3 linked regions of the Canis lupus familiaris genome follow. The protein of the gene in region 3 interacts with the protein of the main gene of each other region in a pairwise test. Links are inferred from orthologs where the notes say so. Each region holds a gene or a part of one and is shown on either strand. Other genes may lie near its edges.

What was found. The genes of interacting proteins can lie anywhere in the genome.
Region 1: the proteins of NAA10 (region 3) and RAB3IP interact in binary tests that used the Homo sapiens proteins (3 or more experiments, as listed by UniProt). The two-hybrid records come from large-scale screens. The link is inferred for Canis lupus familiaris from reciprocal best matches to the Homo sapiens genes NAA10 and RAB3IP.
Region 2: the proteins of NAA10 (region 3) and KIFAP3 interact in binary tests that used the Homo sapiens proteins (3 or more experiments, as listed by UniProt). The two-hybrid records come from large-scale screens. The link is inferred for Canis lupus familiaris from reciprocal best matches to the Homo sapiens genes NAA10 and KIFAP3.

The regions. Positions count from the first base shown.
Region 1 is NC_049231.1:12,071,337-12,076,190, reverse strand, and holds the end of RAB3IP (rab-3A-interacting protein), read right to left. Parts: intron 3,927-4,854; coding exon 3,827-3,926; intron 3,740-3,826; coding exon 3,670-3,739; intron 3,268-3,669; coding exon of another isoform or gene 3,221-3,267; exon of another isoform or gene 3,175-3,220; intron 1,417-3,174; coding exon 1,334-1,416; 3' UTR 1,057-1,333; downstream 1-1,056. UniProt on the Homo sapiens protein: Guanine nucleotide exchange factor (GEF) which may activate RAB8A and RAB8B. Promotes the exchange of GDP to GTP, converting inactive GDP-bound Rab proteins into their active GTP-bound form.
Region 2 is NC_049228.1:28,534,906-28,539,759, reverse strand, and holds part of KIFAP3 (kinesin-associated protein 3), read right to left. Parts: intron 2,880-4,854; coding exon 2,725-2,879; exon of another isoform or gene 2,721-2,724; intron 644-2,720; coding exon 588-643; intron 44-587; coding exon 1-43. UniProt on the Homo sapiens protein: Involved in tethering the chromosomes to the spindle pole and in chromosome movement. Binds to the tail domain of the KIF3A/KIF3B heterodimer to form a heterotrimeric KIF3 complex and may regulate the membrane binding of this complex.
Region 3 is NC_049260.1:122,963,728-122,967,221, reverse strand, and holds the end of NAA10 (N-alpha-acetyltransferase 10), read left to right. Parts: intron 1-25; coding exon 26-70; intron 71-1,357; coding exon 1,358-1,442; intron 1,443-1,944; coding exon 1,945-2,181; 3' UTR 2,182-2,272; downstream 2,273-3,494. UniProt on the Homo sapiens protein: Catalytic subunit of N-terminal acetyltransferase complexes which display alpha (N-terminal) acetyltransferase activity. Acetylates amino termini that are devoid of initiator methionine.

The DNA of each region.
Region 1 (4,854 bases), on a different chromosome or scaffold from region 3:
TTCTTTCAAAGTCATTAACAAATTCCATAGTATCTCTTTTTTCCCCCCAAATCTCTTGTAGTATCTCTTGGATTTGTTTCTCTTCATACTTAGGTACTTTCTCCAAAAGTGTTTTTAATTTACATCTTTGTGTGGAAAATCTTCTCAAGTTTTGAAAGTCTGAGAACGTTTATTACGCCCTAACATTTGAAAAACTACTTATCAGGACATAAAATTCTAGCTTCAAAGTTCTTTACATGTTCGATTTCAGATTCCTGAGCTGGGCATGATGGTGATGGTTTCTCCCACACGATACTTTTCTCAAACATATCCTTTTGTCTGTAGACTCCCACCCATCCTGATGACTGAATCTTCTACAGGTAGGGTTGCCTGAACCTTTGAAGATAGGACTGAAAACAATGCCATCCTCAGAAAATTAGGTCTCTTACACAATGCTACTGTAAAAATACATTTGTTCGACTTCTGTAGAGGTCAATCTGGCAAAGCAGATCAAATATTTTAAAATACACATATACCTTGACCCAACAATTTTACTTCTAGGCACTTACATGAAGAAAATAACCCAATAATGTATAAAGAAGTATGCATGAGGATATTCATCACAGCATTATGATATGAAAAAAAACTTACAGCTAATTTCCAAACAATATTAACATACTATAGTCAAAACCATGTAGTGATGAAAGACATGTAGAAAAAATACTTAAAGAACAAAGTGTACTTTTTGTTTCAGAAATATGCGCATGTAGTTAGAAAATATCTGAAAGCTGAAAGGTTCTTCTTCAGAAATACTAACAGCATTCTCTAGATGGAGAGATTAAGTGCTTCCTGATTTCTTTTTGCCTTATTTAAATAAAATCCTTCTTTAAAGCCCAATCTACAAAACGGACAAAAATAGAGCCATTCTTGTGGGGGGGACAGAGCTGATGTCCACTCAGCCTTCTTCCTTGCCTCTCACAGGCTGCTGTACACTTTGAAAACTATAATTCAATACATTCAGCTTACGTTATCTACATGCCACAACAGAACTAGAGGAGAAAGCAAAAACATATTCAATCTAATGTTGACTTATTTCTTTATTTAGCTTTTTTTTTTTGCAACTATAAATTACAATCACTGGTACACCTGTAATTCTTTATAGTGTGTTCAACTAAGAGAAAGCAAACACAGCATAGGTCAATTTAAAAGAAATCACAGTACTTCTTAGTGTAATCTGCAAAAGAGGAAAACAGTCTTGGGCCCACTCCTTGGAAATAAATATCAAGTAACCATAAAAATATTCAGCCATTTTCCAGGTATTCAGGGAGGTTCATGCATGGTCCCAGGCACAGCATCAGAGTTCCTCTTTGAAATATCCCAGCTTTGCCAATGACATCTCTTTTCTCAACTGCATAACTTCCCAAAACATCTGATCAACTATACAAATAGAAAAGGAGACACATAAATCACAAGATGCCATCTTAATTATTTTTCAGCTGTTTCACTGAAAACTTAACATTAGCTGAAATGCCATCTGGGCATTTCCTAATGACCTATCTAATGCCTCACCATTTTACTGCTAAGTCAAACAAATTTATTTACTTTGGGTAAATACCCAGTAGTGAAATCACTACATTTTTCATGTATCTGTGACAATCTCAGTGTTATCAATAAATGAGCAAATATTCACCAGTTTTGCCGCAACTATTTGTTAGGTACGTCAATGACCACTTTAGCCCAACAGAAGGTAGACACTTCAGTGTCCTGAGTAAATAATGGCAATCTTTTTGCCTTCATAAGCAATTACCCTCAATCCTCAATTATTCTAACTTAGGGATCTTCTTGCTCTAGTTTGCTACATCTTGGCCATTCCACTGTTTGTTAACACCAGTGCAGAATGAAACAGGAAAATAAGAGTCCAGAGAACTCAGTAACATTCTTTGTGGGAATAACAGAGAAAGATTTTGCATATGGCTCAAATTAAAAATAGAAATAAATGTAGAGGTCGATCTGTAGATGTCAATTATCTCTACTTCAGACAAGCCCTCTCTGCTGAGTCAAAAAAAGCTGGCTTTATATTTCAGACAAAAAGTCTTCCTCTAACATGTCCTCAGATTAGAGACTGATTTAGATCAGTGGTTTTCAACCAGTGGAGATTTTGTCCTCAAGGGTACATCTGACAAAATGTCTGGATACGTTTTTCATTACTGGCATCTGAGTAAAGCTCAGCAATGGTGTTAAACATCCTACAACGCACAAGATAGTCCCTATGCACCACAACAAAGACTTATCCAGCTCAAAATGTTAATAGAACCAGGCCTGAGAAACCCTGCTTTAGATTTAGCTGCCCTAAATCCCTCTGGCACAAGGCACAGATAACACAGATTTTTAAATTACAGTATTAATTTGCTACAAACCCACATGTTATACGATGTGTACCAAGTACTGTGAAGAGGGAGAGTGACAGAAATCAGAGAAGAGGCCACTTCTATCGCCATCACCCTACTACCACTCACGACAATTTCTCCTTTTCATAAAGGAAATTATGAAAGGAAGATGAAAGCATCTTCCCTACAAAAACTTCTTTAACAAGGAGGAAAAAAACACACTTGACAATTAAACTTAACATAAATCATCTGTTCTGTGGCTTAAATCCTATGACCACCAACAGGTATTCAAAAATATTTCAATTTTATTGAAGTTGTAAAAAGTCCTGTACCCTTTAAAGACTATACTACTCAGCCTTCTGAAACTCAATATTAATGAGAGGTTTCACCCTCATTCTTTTAGGCAGTAAAATCCAGTTATATGGGATTCTAAATAAATAGGACTCTTCCCAACATACCAAGGCTTTGAAATGCTAACCTAAATTTTTATCAGCATTACTAACTTTTCCACAGAATTGAGATTCACTACTAAGACAGTAGGCCTCTTCTAGGTTTTAAATAGAAAAATATTTTCAGTCCTTAAAAAGATATGAATAGGAAATTTCCTACAACTTCAAATACAAAATGAGTGTAGACTTTATCCCTAGCTTGGGATCTGCTATTTGTTTTAAAACAATCACATATACTCAAGAAACACTGCTTTGGAGCTGGTGGGCCTTTTTCATTTTCATGCCTGGCATTTAAGACATTTGACTACAGAATCATCAGTAATCATGAAAGACTGTATTAAAAATATTAAAACACTTGCATGAGGTTGGCTCTCCTGGATATATCATCTATATGTTTCGGCTGATTCAGAATATAGTAATCTTTATTCCATTCAGAACTATCCTCATGACTGCTTTATTAATTCACACGTGAAAGTAGAAAATACAGAAAAAAATTATTGTTAGATCCTCATGGTTTCCACCAATTAAAATAAATCTGACCATGTCTAGAGCTTACTCATTTTTATTTCTTAAGAGTAAGTTCAATAAGCCTTTTACTCCCCTCATTTTTACTGTCTGGTTTATCAATACACCCCCCCTTAAGAGTTATAACTGATCCTGCTTAAAACTCAAGAGTAAAATGAGGCAGTTTTAAGGGTTAAATACATTTTAAAAGACAGTAGTTCCCAAACTCTCATACAACTATGAGAGATTCAATATGACTATACCAATAATAAAGTTTATTTAAGCATTACTATGTTCTACACTTTCTGAAGGTTTATGTAAATATTTTATAACCAATTAAGAAAACTCACCGTCCTGCTGTTTCACGAGCCCCTGCTGAATATATCGAATGTATGTAAAAAAGTTACATACAGAGGTGATCTAGGCCAAAAGGGGAAAAAAGTCATAAATAGTCAAATGTGTCATATCAAAGTGAGCTGTATTAAAATTCATGGTTAAGTTACTTACCCTGTATCTGCAAAAAGGAGAAATGTAATAATAGTTGCTTGAGTCCCCTAATTTAATTCTGTGTTTACAGGGCTTACTCTGGCCAGTTAGAGCACATTTTCTGCAAAACAATGACAAAATTTTAGTTTTTTAAAATTGGAAGCGTTTTGCTCCCACCCTTCTGTAGAAGTTTCATCCTCACTAACACAACAAGTATTTGAGACCTAGCAGGTACCTGGCACTATTCTACATGCAGACAGGACTGACAAATACAAAGGAATAAACCACCTTGCAAAAATACGGACTCTCAATAATTATAGAAGGGGTGCACTATATTCAGACATACCATCCTTTCTATTTGCATACTACAGACTCTCAGATTTGATATGAGGGCTTTCTGGTTAGAATGAGGCTGTAAGTCTCTTGAAGGCAGAGACTGTATCTTATTCATCTTTAAATGCGAGGCACCAAGCACATGCCTGGCACACACCAGACATTCAATGACTGTTGGTCAAGTGATGAGCCACCTGTCACTCTACTGCTCAGTACAATGATGCTGGACTGTCTTTCAGGGCAGACTCTGAAGGCAGCCTAGTTATTACCCTCCTAAGCTAAAACCATGGCTGAAAAAACTACTACTCCCTATCGAGGCAAAATGAGTACAGCTGTAACTAAAATAAAGTGATTAACAGCATTTTAAATAACATTATAAATTATATAATAAAGAAAAATATGTTACATGAACATTAAATTTCAGCTATACTTACAACAAATATGATACAGATGTGCCTCGATAATAAAGAAAACATATGGAGTGTATTTAAAATAGGGTAATTCTGGGGTGCCTGGATGGCTCAGTTAATTGAACTCTTGGTTTCAGCTCAGGTCATGATCTCAGGGTTGTGATATTCTCTCCTCCTCCTCTTCCCTCCCCTCTGCTCCTCACCCTGCTCACACACTCTCTCATTCTCTAAATAAATAAGATCTTAAAAAAAAATTATAAAATAGGGTATTTTGGAGGTGGCCATTCCAACCACAAAATAATTCTC
Region 2 (4,854 bases), on a different chromosome or scaffold from region 3:
CAATGTATTCATCCATGTCATTAATGTTAGCAACTTCATCAATCTGAAAGAAAGGAAGAGGAAGTACTCTAAAAGAACAACAATGTTCAACAAAGCTACTGTCAAAAGAAGGATATTTTATGGTCAATATATTGCCCTTTTAATAACAGACAAGTTTTCAAAGTACTCATAGTCCTTTCATAGAGGGGAAAATTAGACCTTTGGGTGCTAGGAATCCAATACAAAAGTAGTTATATATTATATAAAAATAAGATATATACTCTAAAATTGGCCTATTAATATAAAGTATCTTAAATGTAATACAAAATAATTTAGTTCTACTTCAATAGGTTAATTGGTATTTAAAAATATAATGCAATAAGAATATTTAAAACACTTCAAAACTTACTTGTCAAAGTAAATATATCTAAAAAACATGCCACTAACTTTTGCCTGTATGAAATACTGAAATATCTACCTTTCCAGGTTCTAAGTTCAATAATTTCTAATTTCCATATCTATTTAATGTTATTATATGAATTATTGATGGGAAAATGGAACAACCTTACAATCAATCAGTTATCTATTAGATCAGAATACAGTCTTACCTCCATTCCTTCAAAAGGAGGTGGATCTTTAGGCTTGCTTGATTTTTCTTTTTTTTCTGTAAAAAGATTTTTTTTTTAATGAGAAGAACTAAGTTTTTAGAGTTACTGGGCAATTTTTATTTTTAGCAGCTGACTTCAATTATGGCTGAGTTGAGGATCTTAAAACTGAATAGTTTATAAAATCATCTTTTTCCCGATAAATAAAAAAATCAAAACTGTTCACCTATAATCCACCTGTTCTAATGAGGATATCAAGGAGAGTATAAATGATCCCAAAGTCATAATTTCATTTCCTCCTTTGTTACTACCTTTTTGGGTATGTAAACAGCCAGACTCGCCAACAAGAAGCAATATAGTCCCTTCTTAACTCACATTCAAGATGGGAGGAGGAAAATCAATAAGGCAATGATACATTAATAAGTTGAGTAATATAAAAACTAAAATGGAAAAAAAATCACTGAAGGTAAGGAATCACATAAATTAAGGATTACTATTTTGTTTCAATCACTTTTAGGGTGCAAGATTCTGGCTTTGAAATTGTGAATATCAAGTAAAAAAGTTAAAAAAGAAAAATGGAATAGTTTTTTAAAAATAAGTGTGTATTTAACATAGCAACAGTATTTCATTTATGTCTTCAAAACATTAATATCTACATAAGCAGATTGATTTGAACAGATTTACCCATGTTGACATGAAAATTTCCTTATATTCCTTTAATTTGGGAGGAAGAAGGTGAGAAAACTAATTTACCTTGAAAACACAGTTCAAGGGTTTTAGTAGTAAAGATACTCTAATGTAAATGCACTTGGGATTAAATTAATTAGGCATGAGGAAAGATCAATTTTAAGGACACTGTATAACTCAAAATAAGTACACACACTTCTTGCTAGAATACAGGATTTACTTTGCTCACTTTGAACTTATTTATCAAAGGAGTTATCGCCCTCATTTATAGAGATCTTAAGTAGAATATTCTATCATGAAACAATAAAAATTCTTAATATTTTCCTTATAGCAGTTATTATGAATAATTAACATACATTGAATGCCAGTTATGTAGTTGGATGGAATCAAATTCAAACTGCTTATTTTTGCTTTTAAATAAATTTAACATCACTTAATTAATCCAAAAATACATACTGATCACATTAGATATTATATTCAGAGCTAACTAATAAAAGTGTATGTTAGACACAAGGCATTTCATTTGCTGTAAATAGAAAAGACAGAATAATTTGAAAAAAGCCCAAGCAAATTTTCTTTTACTTCTTTCTACTTAGTATAATCAACACTTAAGCATTTATGAATTATTTCAAAGGCACCACATTTTAACTCACCAATGGTGAAAGACATGTAAACTTAATCAGTACTATGAAGTAGAATATGTATTCAATAATCTGAGATGACTTTCTATTCAAATGTCTGTATTTTTACTTTGTTTCATTTTTGGTTTAGAATATTTGATGATGTCTTCTAAAAATAATTGCTTAGCTTTAATATTTTAATGGGTTGGTTCTTTATGAAGAAATTGAAGACAGAAGAATGGCAACAAGGAAGACATTATGAATGAAAAAGGCAGTATTTTCCTAAGAAAGATTCATAAAACTTGTATCTTTAGGATAGTTGAAAACATATGACATATATTTTAACATTTAAATGCTTGAGTCACCCATTCAAATTATAAATTAAATCTCTATAAGAAATTTAGAAAATATAAATCTAATCGTGTAGAGAAAATATTTTGCCGCCCCAAATTCTCTCCTTTCATTATTCTAGAGTCAATATGACAGACATTTGCTTTTTCACTCCTTACCTTAGCACATATGTACACAAACATACACACACACCACAGTATGAAATATACACAACATACACACACAAACATACAGACACAAACACAAACATACACACCTACCACAATATGAAACAGAAGCAGATCATTTTGCATAGAAGTATCTAATACAGAGCCTTCCTGCAGGAAACTAATAGGTTTATTCTTTCATTCATTATTTACTTATAGCACTGGCAAAATAAAATAAAACAATAACAAAACAAACCCCATGATTGAAATATCAAAAGCAAAAACTATAGTTAAAGAACTCTGGTTATGCATTAAAAAGTAAGGAATTATACTTACCTTTTCCTGACAATGAATCCCGGCGGTTCTGTAGATAGTACAACAGCTGTTCTACCTCATTTAATTTTGAGGGATGAATAAGTTTACATTCTTCAACCACCTTCCGTGCCAGGGAAGTTATATCGGTGTTGGCATTGAGACTCTTAAGACGAATGCTGTAAGCATATCAAAATTTTCCAACTCAGGTAATACCAAAGTAAGTGATAAAAATACTACTTCCAAATAAATAGTTATAAAGTATTTAAAGGTACCTGACACAGACTCTTTTAGTAAAATATAATAAAGTATTAGATGTAATTAGGCTTAGAAAAATGCAAACAAATGATTTCTTTGAACTGGACAGGCAAGATCACAAAGGGAACATAAAATCTACATCTGACTCTTCTAGACAAGATAGCATATCTTGTCTAAGATAGGTATCTTGTTTTAAAACAGTCTTTCTGACAACATATATGAAGTCTTAATTAATCATTATTGGATATGAGAATCCATATTGCCAAAAATAAGTAATTTTCTTGACCAAACTCATAATTATTTAACTAGGGACACACACATAATATCAGTATTTTCAGATTCAATTGTTTCTGGTGGAAACAATTGGCAATGTACATGGATTTGTGGTACCAGGGAGAGCCATGAAGACACAAAATTAGGTTCAGGTGAAAACTCAATTGGTGGCAAAAGACTCAAGCAGATGTACCCATGTATGCCTAGAGAAACATTAACAAAGTAGTCACTGTGTGGAATTATTTTTTGGTGAAGACAGCCGATGTTGGAAGAGACATCAAGATATTAGAGGCAGTTGGGACAGAGATCTCTGAAAAATGCCTTGTCCTCAGCATCTGTGAAATCATTATTCAAATACTGATGATCTGAAATAAGTGCAGCATAGTGATTTATATATTATTCCCAGCTAAACAGTCTTCCCTCGATCTGGTCCTCCCAGGATTCTACAAATTACTTAATAGTCTTTAACAAATTCCTTTTATGCTTAAATTTGCTAGAGTGGTGGGGGTACCTGGGTGGCTCAGTGGTTGAGCATCTGCCTTCAGCTCAGGTTGTGATTCCAGGATTCACACAGGGATTAAGTCCCACATCAGGCTTCCTGCGGGAAGCCTGCTTCTCCCTCTGCCTATGTCTCTCTCTCTCTCTCTCTGTTTCTCTCATGAACAAATAAAATCTTTTTAAAAAATGTGCTGAAATGGCTTCTAATGTATGCGACAACCAGCAATACTTAGTCCATTTAACTTTTCTTTAATCTATTTATATTCCTATGGTTTTAAATCTTTTAAACTATTTATTTTTGTATAATTTTAGCTGCATATCCAGAAGGCATTACGTGGTGCCTTTACAACAACTGATGAAACAAAACTGATACATTATCACTGAATGAAGTTCACAGTTTACATTAGGGTTCACTCTTTGTGTCCTATAGTTCTCTAGGCCTTGAATGTATAATGCCATGAATACACCATTATAGTATCATACAAAATGGTTTTACTGGCCTAAAAATGCCCTCTGCTTCACCTATTCTCCCCTCCGTCATCCCTTGCACTCCTGACAGCCTCTAATCTTTCTACTTTCGTTTTTTCTTTTCTAGAATGTCACATATTGGAATCTTTCCAGTCTGGCTTCTTTCACTTAAATGCATTAATATAGTAAGGTACCTCAAATGTGTTTTCACATCTTGATAGTTGAATTCTTTTTAGCCCCGAATTGTACTTGGTGATATGAATGCACCACAGTTTACCCGCTTGCCTATTGAAGGATACCTGGCGTGCTTCCAATTTTTGACAATTATAAATTTTCTACAAACATTAATTCTCCTGTTTTTGTGTGGACATGTGTTTTCAACTCATTAGAGTTCATATCTAGAAACACAACTGCTGGATTATATGGTAAGCCTATGTCTAACTTTGTAAGCAATTGCCAAACTGTCTTCCAAAGTGGTTATAATAAATACCACTTTATATTCCCACTAATAATGAATGAGTTCCTGTGGCTCTATATCCTCACCAGCATTTGGTGCTGTCAATATTTTGGATTTTACCTATTCCAATAGGTATGTAGTGGTATATTGATTTGATAAAGTAGATTTTTCTATCCTTTTTTAGATCTATTTTCTACCAA
Region 3 (3,494 bases):
TCAGCAGCGCCTTGTTCCCCTGCAGTAACCGGGCCGCCCTGCACCTCTATTCCAACACCCTCAACTTTCAGTAAGTAGATCAAGATTTTTCTAATGGAATGGGGTGGTCCCAAGTCTGGCACATCCAGGCATCTGAGACAGGCTGAGCTGCCTTCCAGGTGGAAGGATGTGGGCGACTGGGGAGAGACCTGGGCTCAGCTGAGATGGCGAGCAGGCCATGGACTTCCAGACATTACCAGAATGTCTCCTTCAGGCTCTGTGGGGACGACAGCTGCCTGCTGCAGTCTGCTCAAAGCACGTTGTGATGCAGGAGCGTTTGGTGTGGCTGGTTGTGTCCCTCGATGCCGGCTAGGGCTAGGTGGAGGGCCATGTGGTGAAGCGCAGTCTTCTCAGTAGAGGTTCGGGAGTAGAGGTGAGGGCCCGGGACATGAGCAGAAGCAGGGCTCAAGGTGGCCTGGCACCTAGAAGCATCTGAGAGCAACCAGGAGAAAGGAGAGTGTGGTGCTATGGAAACCTAAGCACGTCCAGGCAGGTAGAGTCATCGGCAAGAGCAGTGGAGGGATGCAGAGCCCTGGGGTATCCTGGTGGATGAGGGCAAGCCCACTTGAGGACATGGGAGTCTCTGTGTGCCTGGCGCAGAACAGAGAAAACCTGGCAGGGAAGTGATGTGGTGGAAGCTGCTCGAAGGGGAGGCTGGGGGTGGAGGACCCCCAGAGACAGCTTCAGCTTCAGTTTGCTGGGGGTGAAGAGGGACCGCCAGGAAAGGCATTCAGGGAGGGGTCCTGATCTGGATATAGAGTCTCTGGTGGCCAACAGTTGTGGGGTCTCGGGGCTGGCCAGCTCTCCTAGGCCATCAAGTCCAACACCCTTCCAGTGGCAGGGTACCCGAGTGTGTGCATCCACCCTCCACTGCAGGCTTGGCCCCTAAGGTCCTCAGAGCAGGGGTCACAGGGCCTGGCAGTGACTGTCAGGAACCAGAGGTCCCAGCTCCCGTCCTCCTCCATTCCAGTGGCTAGGCCCAGGAGTCAGCCTTGGTTGCTCAGTGAGTGACAGGGAACAGGGCATGGAGGGAAGGGAACAGCTAATTCAGGGCTTGGGCTCACAGCAAACCACAGAAACAGATGTGTGGGAGCCAGCTTAGGGACACAGGACAGTGGGAACCCCCAGAGGGTGCAAGGCGCTGGGTGCTACTTGCTGCCTACTGCTGGCGAGCGCAAAGGGCAGGCCGCGTCGGAATGGGCTTGCTGTCTCCGTCGGGGAAGACAGACGTGCCGCCGCACTAGCGCAGGATGCCAGAAGACTGAGGAGACTTGAAACTCTGATTTGGGTCGTTCTTTTCTGCTCCTCCTGCCCCCAGGATCAGCGAAGTGGAGCCCAAGTACTACGCCGATGGGGAAGACGCGTACGCAATGAAGCGGGACCTCACCCAGATGGCTGACGAGGTGAGTGTCCCTTGGGGTGCCTGAGGCTGTCGGAGGCCCTCAGAGGCTGTGCTGCCCAGTCGGCGCCCCTTCCCCTCACGTTCTCAGCTGCCAGGCAGGGAGCAGGCCATGGCCGGGCTGGAAAGGAGGTATCACCCCAATGTTCCCTTCTCTGCCAAAGCCTGTCCTGTCTGAGGCGTGATGGCAGAGGAGAGGGAGGAGGCTCTTGGAAGCGCCCAGAACTTGGTCCCCTGGTCTCAGGGGTGAGACTCGGCTGGGCAGAGGAGAAAGTCAGGGTCCTGCCCCAGGCTCGTCAGGGGCCAGGGCCGTTCTGAGGGCTTGGTGGCAGCCCGTGTGAGGGAGGCATGTGCACGCTCACTCAGAGGAGATTGCAGGGCCCAAGAGGTCTCCTGCCCCAGGCCTGCCGCCCTTCATCCCCGGTGTGGGGGGCGGCGGAGGGCCTGCGTGCTCAGGAGACTTAGGTCCCGTCTCCCCTTCCGTCCCCCCGGGCTCCTGGCGGCAGCTGCGAAGGCATCTGGAGCTGAAGGACAAAGGCAGACACGTGGTGCTGGGCGCCATCGAGAACAAGGTGGAGGGCAGGGGCAGCTCGCTTCCGAGCTCTGGAGACGCCTGTCGTGACGAGAGAGGCCTGGCTGCTGACGATAGCGGGGGCGACAGCAAGGATCTCAGCGAGGTCAGCGAGACCACAGAGAGCACCGACGTCAAGGACAGCTCAGAGGCCTCTGACTCTGCCTCCTAGAGCCCGCACTTGCTCCTCACCCCACCCTGGCCTGCCCATCCTGTGCTCGCCCCTCGAGGTTTCCCAATAAACTTCCCCCAGTGGCCTTGGGGAGTGTGTGTGTGCGAGTATGCACATGGGGGGCGGGCAGGGGGCCACCTCTCTCCAGCCACTCTGTGTCCCTGTGGTTATGGACATCACAGCCTTTCAGCACCGCATGCCCTCCAGAGCCAAGTAGAGGGGATTTGGAGGTGGGGCTCCCATGTCTGATGGCTTTCGGCACCTTTGGGCCCGGGAGAGGGACACCCTGGAGTTCTGGAGGCTGGTCCCTGCCGGGAGGCAGATGCTCTGCTGCTGCCTTGCTGGGCTCCTGATGCCTAGAGTCCAGCTGCTCACTGGGCTTATCTGGTGCCGTCCTGTCTTGTCATGGCCCAAGCAGCCACCCAGTTGCTCAAGTCCTGGCAGCTGTCCTTGATTCCTCCCTCCCCTGCCATCCAGAAGATCGGGAAGTCTGGTGTGTTCGACTACCGTAATACCCATGGAATCTGCCCCCTAACCTAAGCCTTCATTTGGAAATAGTTGATAAACTTTATTTTTAGTACAGCCTTAGGTTTACAGAACTGAGCCATTGGATAGTTCCCTGGAACCTCCCTCCGGCCTCCTTCACCATCCCTGAGTTACTTTGTATCAAATGTTATATTTTGTATCAAATGTTACATGAGCCAACATTGATACATTATTAGCCCTAGTCCAGGACTGATGGTTCCTTTTTCTGTTGCACATTCTGGTTTTGGACAAAGGCATAAAGTCATTTCCTTTTTTAAAAAAGATTTTATTTATTCATGAGAGACAGAGAGAGAGAGGCAGGCAGAGACCCAGGCAGAGGGAAGAGCAGGCTCCATGCGGGAGCCCGATGTGGGACTCGATCCCGGGTGTCCAGGTTCATGTCCTGGGCCGAAGGCAGACGCTAAACGGCTGAGCTATCTGGCCTGCCCTTTTTTTTTGTTTGTTTAAAGATTTTAATGTCATTTTTAAAAAATTCTTTTGAAAGATTGATTTGGGAGAGTGTGAGCATGAGCAGAGGGAGGAGCAGAGGGAGAGGGAGAAGCAGACTTCCTGCTGAGCAGGGAGCCCCATGTGGGGCTGGGTCCAAGAATCCCAGGGTCTTGACCCGAGCCGAAGGTAGATGCTTTACCTACTGAGCCACTCAAGTGCCCTGCACAGGGTCATTTCATACAGAACATGAGCCCTGTTTTTTTTTAATTGGATTGGTCGGCATAACAATGTTAGATCAATTTCAGGTGTAAACAGTGCTGCGCCACGTCTATAGGTGA